Xenopus tropicalis: one gene and its partner. The main gene of each other region encodes a partner of the protein of the gene in region 2 in a complex. Links are inferred from orthologs where the notes say so. Each region holds a gene or a part of one and is shown on either strand. Other genes may lie near its edges.

Evidence for each region.
Region 1: the proteins of rabgef1 (region 2) and rab21 are in contact, whole or in part, in a crystal structure (PDB 2OT3), measured with the Homo sapiens proteins. The link is inferred for Xenopus tropicalis from reciprocal best matches to the Homo sapiens genes RABGEF1 and RAB21. Residues at the interface, in NP_001273991.1 of Homo sapiens: Leu253, Cys254, Lys296, Phe299, Asn300, Lys303, Pro309, Ala310, Ser311, Ala312, Asp313, Phe315, Leu316, Pro317, Ile320, Leu347, Met348, Thr349, Gly350, Glu351, Gly353, Tyr354, Tyr355, Thr357, Asn358, Cys360, Cys361, Ala364, Phe365, Ser373; in NP_055814.1 of Homo sapiens: Ser19, Phe20, Lys21, Gly26, Glu27, Gly28, Lys32, Thr33, Leu37, Thr50, Thr51, Leu52, Gln53, Ala54, Ser55, Phe56, Ala71, Trp73, Asp74, Thr75, Ala76, Gly77, Gln78, Arg80, Phe81, Leu84, Ile87, Tyr88, Asp91.

The regions. Positions count from the first base shown.
Region 1 is NC_030679.2:59,983,078-59,986,831, reverse strand, and holds the start of rab21 (ras-related protein Rab-21), read right to left. Parts: upstream 2,663-3,754; 5' UTR 2,489-2,662; coding exon 2,336-2,488; intron 1-2,335. UniProt on the Homo sapiens protein: The small GTPases Rab are key regulators of intracellular membrane trafficking, from the formation of transport vesicles to their fusion with membranes.
Region 2 is NC_030678.2:48,716,512-48,720,165, forward strand, and holds part of rabgef1 (rab5 GDP/GTP exchange factor), read right to left. Parts: intron 3,533-3,654; coding exon 3,366-3,532; intron 481-3,365; coding exon 399-480; intron 1-398. UniProt on the Homo sapiens protein: Rab effector protein acting as linker between gamma-adaptin, RAB4A or RAB5A. Involved in endocytic membrane fusion and membrane trafficking of recycling endosomes. Stimulates nucleotide exchange on RAB5A. Can act as a ubiquitin ligase.

The DNA of each region.
Region 1 (3,754 bases), on a different chromosome or scaffold from region 2:
GAGCATGTGCAGTGAATCAGCAAAAAAAAGAAGATAGGAAGCATCTTTGGGGGGCACAGATCTTAACTGCTAAAGGTCTGTGGTTGCATTGGGCTGGTACAGAAGCACAAAACATAATGTACAACATGTGTAACCTACATCTATAGTTAAACTTTAGTTCTTCTTTTAAACATCTTAGCAGTGCTGATAGCACTGCCACTTACTCGCAATCACTCTCAAATTATAAAATATAAATAAATAAATTATAAATAGAGTGCAATATACCAGTGTTTTTAGTACAATATTAACATTTTGTATGGCAGATAAGAGGACAACCCTCATATATAATAAAAAGCACTATGTTTACCCAGGTGCAGTAACCAATATGGTGTCTGCTTTTAAACAGATGACCAGTAAATGATACATGCTGATTTGTAGCAATGGGTCACTGCACATGGGAAAACTTAGAACCTTCTATATACCCCCACTGATGTTTTAGGGTGAAGACACACTACTGGTACTAGTAGCAGCTACTTTTTCACAGCTACTAAACTCCAGAAAATACCTTGCCATAGACAATACTGAGAACTGCCTCTGATAAACCACACGTAGAGACAATTATCATTAAATGATCAGCACTGTCTATTTTTAGTAGCCACAACAAGTAGCTACTACAGGTATAGGACCCGTTATCCAGAATGCTCGGGACCAAGGGTATTCCGGATAAGGGGTCTTACCATAATTTGGATCTTCAAACCTTAAGTCTACTAAAAAAATCAATAAAACATAAATTAAACCCAATAGGATTATTTTGTATCCAGTAAGGATTCATTATATCTTAGTTGGGATCAAATACAAAGCACTGTTTTATTTTAACAGAGAAAAAGGAAATCAATTCATATTCTAAAATATGAATTATTTGATTAAAATGGAGTCTATGGGAGACAGGCTTTCCGTAATTCGGAGCTTTCTGGATATCGGGTTTCCGGATAAGGGATCCCTTACCTGTATTAGTAGCTATGTGTGTGTCTTCACCCTAAAACTATTAAATAGGGCATTCCTCATCTAGAAGAGAAGATTATCATAAAGATCCCTAGAATTTTTTAAAGTGTCTTTTTGCTTAAACATTATTTGAATATGATTACACACACACTTTAATGTCTTGAACCATTGCCATGCTACCAGTGGCAATAATTAGGCAGTTTAGCAAACACACATTGTCAGCTGGGAACAACTAAGCACTTGCACTGGACACCAGAACTGCAACCAACTTAACAATTGTATAGATATTTCTATAAGTAAAGGCTGCTCTGTGAAACATTTATTTTGACATTATCTGCAAGCAGGTATTACATATTTAAATTTAGCAGCTATTTAAAGTTCATAGAGGACCATTTTAAATGAAAAAAAAATACAGGATTAGAATAGTATTTTAACATTTAGGGAGGTAACTACTGAGAAAAAAAGAAAACCTAGAAATAAAGTGCTCCAATCTGAATATACTGGAAACAGAGATAATAACTGAGGTTTGCAAGCTGTGGAAAAATGTACAAAGCAAGCTTTCACTTAACCACATGATAACCTGAAATACATAAGTGAAATTCAAGCCACGTCATGTGAACTGCTGGATTGCTTATGTTCTGTACAGTATGACATTTCACCCTGCACCTTCCTGCCTGTTGATAAACGAAACTTTCTATGATCTGTACATACAGGGCATTTTGTTTAACAGTAGCAAGAGAACAGCATCACTGCTACTAAATGCCAGCTTATGTTACAGCATGGTTTCACAAGGGTGCATTTAAGTGACATACAACTAACTGTCCCACAAGAGTGAAACGACATACACATTCCATATTGAGAAAATAAAATAAATGGCCCCAGGCTGTTGTAGAACTAGTGGAGTAGTACTGTTTTCATGCTTTTGGTAGTAGTGCATCTACAGAGAGCACAGGATTATCTTATCATCCCAATACACTACTTGTACAGTACACTTGCTGCATGCACAATTTGTATTCAGATGTAGATTGGGGGATACAATAATTTCTGTGCAAATTAACCATCAATACCCAAATTGCCTTCCTGCAGTGTCAAACTACAACTCTCAGAATGCTCTAACAGCCACCAGCTGTCAAAGGATGCATGAAGATGAAACATCTGGACAATTTCATGTTGCACATCATTTTACTAACTTAGTTAATACACTAATTCCTAGCAAGCCAGGATCTAGTAACTAGGCCTCCAAGTATAAAAGGAATATATGGCAGCACTAAGAAAAGCCTGACACTGGTACATGAGATAAACAAGTGTAATTGCCCCCTATATGAGCGCCTGACGACAATGCCACCGTTCACACCTGCAGGGTAGTGATGTGCTTGTCGTTGAACTTGTTCTCACAGTAACGCAGAACTAGCGAAGTCTTCCCCACGCAGCCCTCTCCGAGCAGCACCACCTTGAACGAGTAAGTCTTGCTGACCCCCGCACCTCCACCTCCGCCAGCCGCCGCCATGGACCCAAACGAGCCACTAAGGCCACCGACACAAGGAGCCCAGGCCGCACCGAAGCAATCACGCAGCACCGGGCTCCTGGCACCGCTTAGAGACGCGCCCCTCAAGTTCAAGTCAACACGACTAACAATTGTCAGTGGAACTTAATATGTGACAGGCCAGAGGTTCAAGAGCTTTCTATCCGCCTTAGTCTCTAATGGCGACTTCTTCCTCTTACGTCACCCACCACCACGTGATGTTGGTGTGATGCCGAATGTTAGAGTCTGACTGACAGGAAGGCGTGATTGGAAATCTTACAGGGTGTGTTCGGCTGACGCACCTCACAATATTAATTGGCGGGATTGTGTAGATTGGTTCTACCAGTGGCTGGATTGTGTCATGTTTGCTAAATTTGTAATTACACATCTTACTCAGTATTGAGGAAACGAGGTAAATGATGAGCTCTGCTTTGTTTCGTAGTGTTTTGTAGACTCCACGTTTCCTTTACTGTAGTAAATCCCGCCAACCCTGGTACATGCTATACAATAGGTGGCATTAAAATGCAGATGTGCGGTTATTGGTGAGAACTTTGGCTTACCAACTATTGACAAAGAGCTGTCAGCCCCAGTAGACTCTCTTCCCTGGGGATCATTACAGCATGTGTAGCTGATACCCTGAGGGCATGTGTAATGTGTCTTCACTGGGCGTGGGGTAGTAAGGTGGCCATACACGGGCTGATTCTAGCTGTCGATATCGGTCCCGATTTGGCAGCTTAACGGCCGAGTATGGGCAGTAACGACGGGCCTGCCCTACCAATATCTGGCCTGAAATCGGGCAGATACTGATTGTGCAGGTTTAACCCTTTAAGTGCCAGCCGAATTCGTCATTTCAGTTCCCCCCAGTGCCAGACGTTTTGTAAACATTCTGTGCTCTCTCAATGTAGGGGCTTTTACTGGGGGCAGGGTTAAGTTTAGGTAGGCAAACTATATATTGTTTTTTTCAGGAGAACCTGAGCTTTCCAAATCTACCTGAGTTTTTGTGTATTTCCACTTCTGGAACAAGATTTAGAGCTTGAAATACAAAAAAAAAAAGAAAAAATGCTATTTTTCATGATATAAGGATTTCTACCAGAAACATATTTTATTTTATGGACAAAAATTCAACTGATTTGGAAAGCCTCATGTCTCCCGAACGTGCCAATACCTGATGTGTATAGTTTTATTGAGATTTCTGACTTCTATAGATCAAAAACTCCCAGCAGTAAATTACTAAATTTTCAAAGCATTACA
Region 2 (3,654 bases):
TGTCTAATTCTAGAAAAACAGAGTCAGATTCTGAATTGCTAACCATAAAAAATATGCATTAGATACTCTGATAAACAAGAGTTTAGTTAGACGTGACCACCACATAATAAAATTAGATTTACTAAGTATATTTTAAACAACCACTACTTTATTCATGCGTGAAATGAATACACTATCACTGTCTTCCCTAAAGTACTAAATCTAAAGTCTGTCTTAAATCATAATAAAACTAGCTTTTCTAACAGGACCCAATTCCACAAACAAAAAAAATCCATGACATAGTACACCCTTTATTATCTTAAGCTACTAAAAAAATGCACAAATATTTAGGAATGTAGACCAGGTTTGGGATGAGATGCTTCCAATCTTTAAAATCATCACAACAAAAAGAATGTTACCCTTCCAATACATCTGCAACTTCTCTGCTGTGTTTTGATAAAAGTCCTGGGTAAATTCAGATTGTTCGTCAATATTTGATTCCTAGGATAAGTAAAAAAGGACATACAGGATATATTAGCCAATTAAGAACCACCAAAAATGAAATCATATTTTGTTATCCAGTGAAAAAAGTGCATAAGGTCACAGCAGCTCCTGGACATATGCCATTTGATTGATACAGTCCTGTTTCTCACCAGGGAAACCTGTAACAACCTTTATAGCCTTCTTCATGCCTGGACCATCCCACATTAGCTCCCGCTGTTTCTAACTACAAGGAAACATTTTTACTGAATAGGACTATCAATGTAGTAAGTTGAAAGGATTGTTTGTGAACAACTGGGAAGAACTACTTTTACAGGCTAATCCATCATGTACCAAAAATATGCTACACTGTCTGATCCATTGAGATGGTAAAGGTAAGAATATAGTGATTATTATTGATGTTATAAATATTATAAGGGATGCACCGAATCCAGGATTCGGTTCAGTATTCGGCCAGCATTCAGCCTTTTTTGGCAGGGTTCAGATTCAGCCAAATCCACAGTCCTGTCCAAATGGAATCCGAATCCAAATTAGCATATGCTAATTAGGATTTGGAAGGGTTAATGCGGTGCATAAACAAGGAAGTGTAAAATGTAACCATCCCAAATGGGATTCGGTTCGGTATTCGGCCAAACCAAAACTGGGTTCAGTGCATCTCTAAGTATTATAAAATAAACATTATTGGAATAATAACAATCTTAATGAAATTCTGCATTCCCTAAAACTGAGCTGTTAGGGGCCCCAGACTTGTGTATGGGGAAGCATCATTTAACTAAGACTAGTTCCAACTACGATAATACATGTTTAAACAACAGCCCCGAGATAAATGGGTTAAAGCTATATTTTATATAGCAGTGGGTCTAGCATATTTAGGCAATTTTAACCAAATGACTCCTTCCCATGTATTTGCCTTGACTATTTCCAATCAGAAGTTTTTGGAGATGCTGGTAAATCTATTCTACTGATCATTACACAGAAGGAATGACTGCACAAAGGTCAGATTTAAAGGAGAAGGAAAGGCTAAGTCATTTGGGGGTGCCAAAATGTTAGGCACCTCCCAGTGACTTTAATCGCTTACCTTTTACCCTGGGTTGGTGCCCCTGTTAGGAGAAAACCGCACCAGCCCGGGGTAGCTCTTCTTCCTTGTTCGCACACTTGCACAGTAGAATGAAAAGCCGAACTTTAACAAAAATGTCAGCTTTTCACTCTACTACACAGGGATTTTGACGACAGAAGGAAGTGCTTGCTGCAGTCACCTCGGGCTGGTGCTGTTTTCTCCTAACAGGGGCACCAGCACGGGGTACAAGGTAAGCGATTAAAGTCACTAGGGGGTGCCTAACATTTTGGCACCCCCAGGTGACTTAGCCTTTCCTTCACCTTTAAGCCAAACTGGTGAGCACTTTGTCCTATTCTGCCATAACACTTGTTTTTGCATAATGAAAATGCAGATTTCAAGCAATAGTCATCTGATACAAACACAGGTTAGGCAACCCAGACCCATCTAGTTTCCTTGCTGGATCATTGCGGCTACCCTGGGCTGTGTGCATGCACAGCAGAGAAAAAGTTCAGCTTTTAGCATCTAAGTTCTCATTATACTCTATGTACTGTATGTGCAGTCCAGACCAGCTACCAAGAATCCCTGGGAGGCACAACAATTGGTAATATGGAGCTCACTAAAATAGTACCACCCCCAGAGGGGGACCTGTCTGAGGTCAATGATTATATTAACTGGTGGGCAACCCCCAGTAATTAATTGAAGTGTTTTTAGCGCATATTCTGTTTGAAAAGGATGTTTTCCCTTTGTGTGCGCTAAATTGTCTTGGAGTAGTGATGATTTCATTTAATTTACAGAGCTACCCGAATAGCAAATGTGCAGCTCTTTTGCATCTCCACTGCCACACTAAACTGCTCTAAAACAGACTTAATATAAGATTTTTTTATACGAGCAGTGTCACATAAGTGGCCATAAGATTCTATGTAACCATATTTTATCATACTGATGCATGGGTCACTAAGGAGGAAATTCAAAAGAGACTTGAACATGTAAAGGTAAACAGAAGTCCAGGACAGGATGGTATTCATCCCAGGGTACTAACCGAGCTTAGCTCTGTGATTGCAAAACCTATTCACTTATTTATTTAGGATTCATTGAGGTCTGGAATAGTGCCGCGAGACTGGTGAATTGCTAATGTGGTGTCCTTATTAAAAAAAGGGATCCCATTTTCAGCCTGAAAACTATAGGCCTGTTAGTCTGACATCAGTGGAAGGAAAGCTTTTGGAAAGGATAATAAGGGATAGGATACTTGCAAATCACAAGACTATAAGTTTGTGCCAGCATCAGTTCACCAAAGGCCACCCCTTTAGATTAGGGGAACAGAACTTTAAAGCAACATAGGTGGTTCTTTACAGTGAGGGCAGTTAGGTTGGGTAATGCCCTTCCAAGTGATGTTATGATTGCAGATTCTGTTAATGCCTTTAAGAGGGGCCTGGATGAGTTCTTGAACAAGCATAGTATCCAAGGCTATTGTGACACTAAAATCTACAGTTAGTATTGATGTTGTTATATATAGTTTTAGTATGTGAGTGTACAGACAGATCAGTATGGGTCTATGTGTATGTGCTGGGGATCGCTTGGATGGGTTGAACATGATGGACTTTGATCTTTTTTTAATCTGACTTAACTATGTAATTTGAAGGGAATGTGTGGATTGAAATCTGTATAAACCTTTTTTTTGCAATCCACACTTCCGACAACTGTGTATATTAAAACATAAACAAAAACACATACACAGTTGCACATGTAAGGTGTTCAGATCAGGTAGTGGCAAGTGTTTTGAAAGGCCATCTAACACTATTCTAACAGCAGCAGATACTGGATTCCTTACCCTTTTGTGATACATGGCTTCCAAGAAGATTTTGGACATTTTGTACACGTCATGTCCTGCTTTCTGGTAAGTCTTTAAAAACTCAATAAAATCCTTGGACACGCGGTCAGTTTCCAAGCTATACTGGCGGCTCAGAGAAGGGCTTGGGGATTTTGCTTCTTTTATATCTGTTGTCACATAAAATACAGAGTAAAAAGAAAGTTTTATTTTTTTTAACCTATTACAGGGTACATTATCACTGAAATGAACAGAAAAAGAATACTCCGCAATCAATAGCAACAGGTTTACA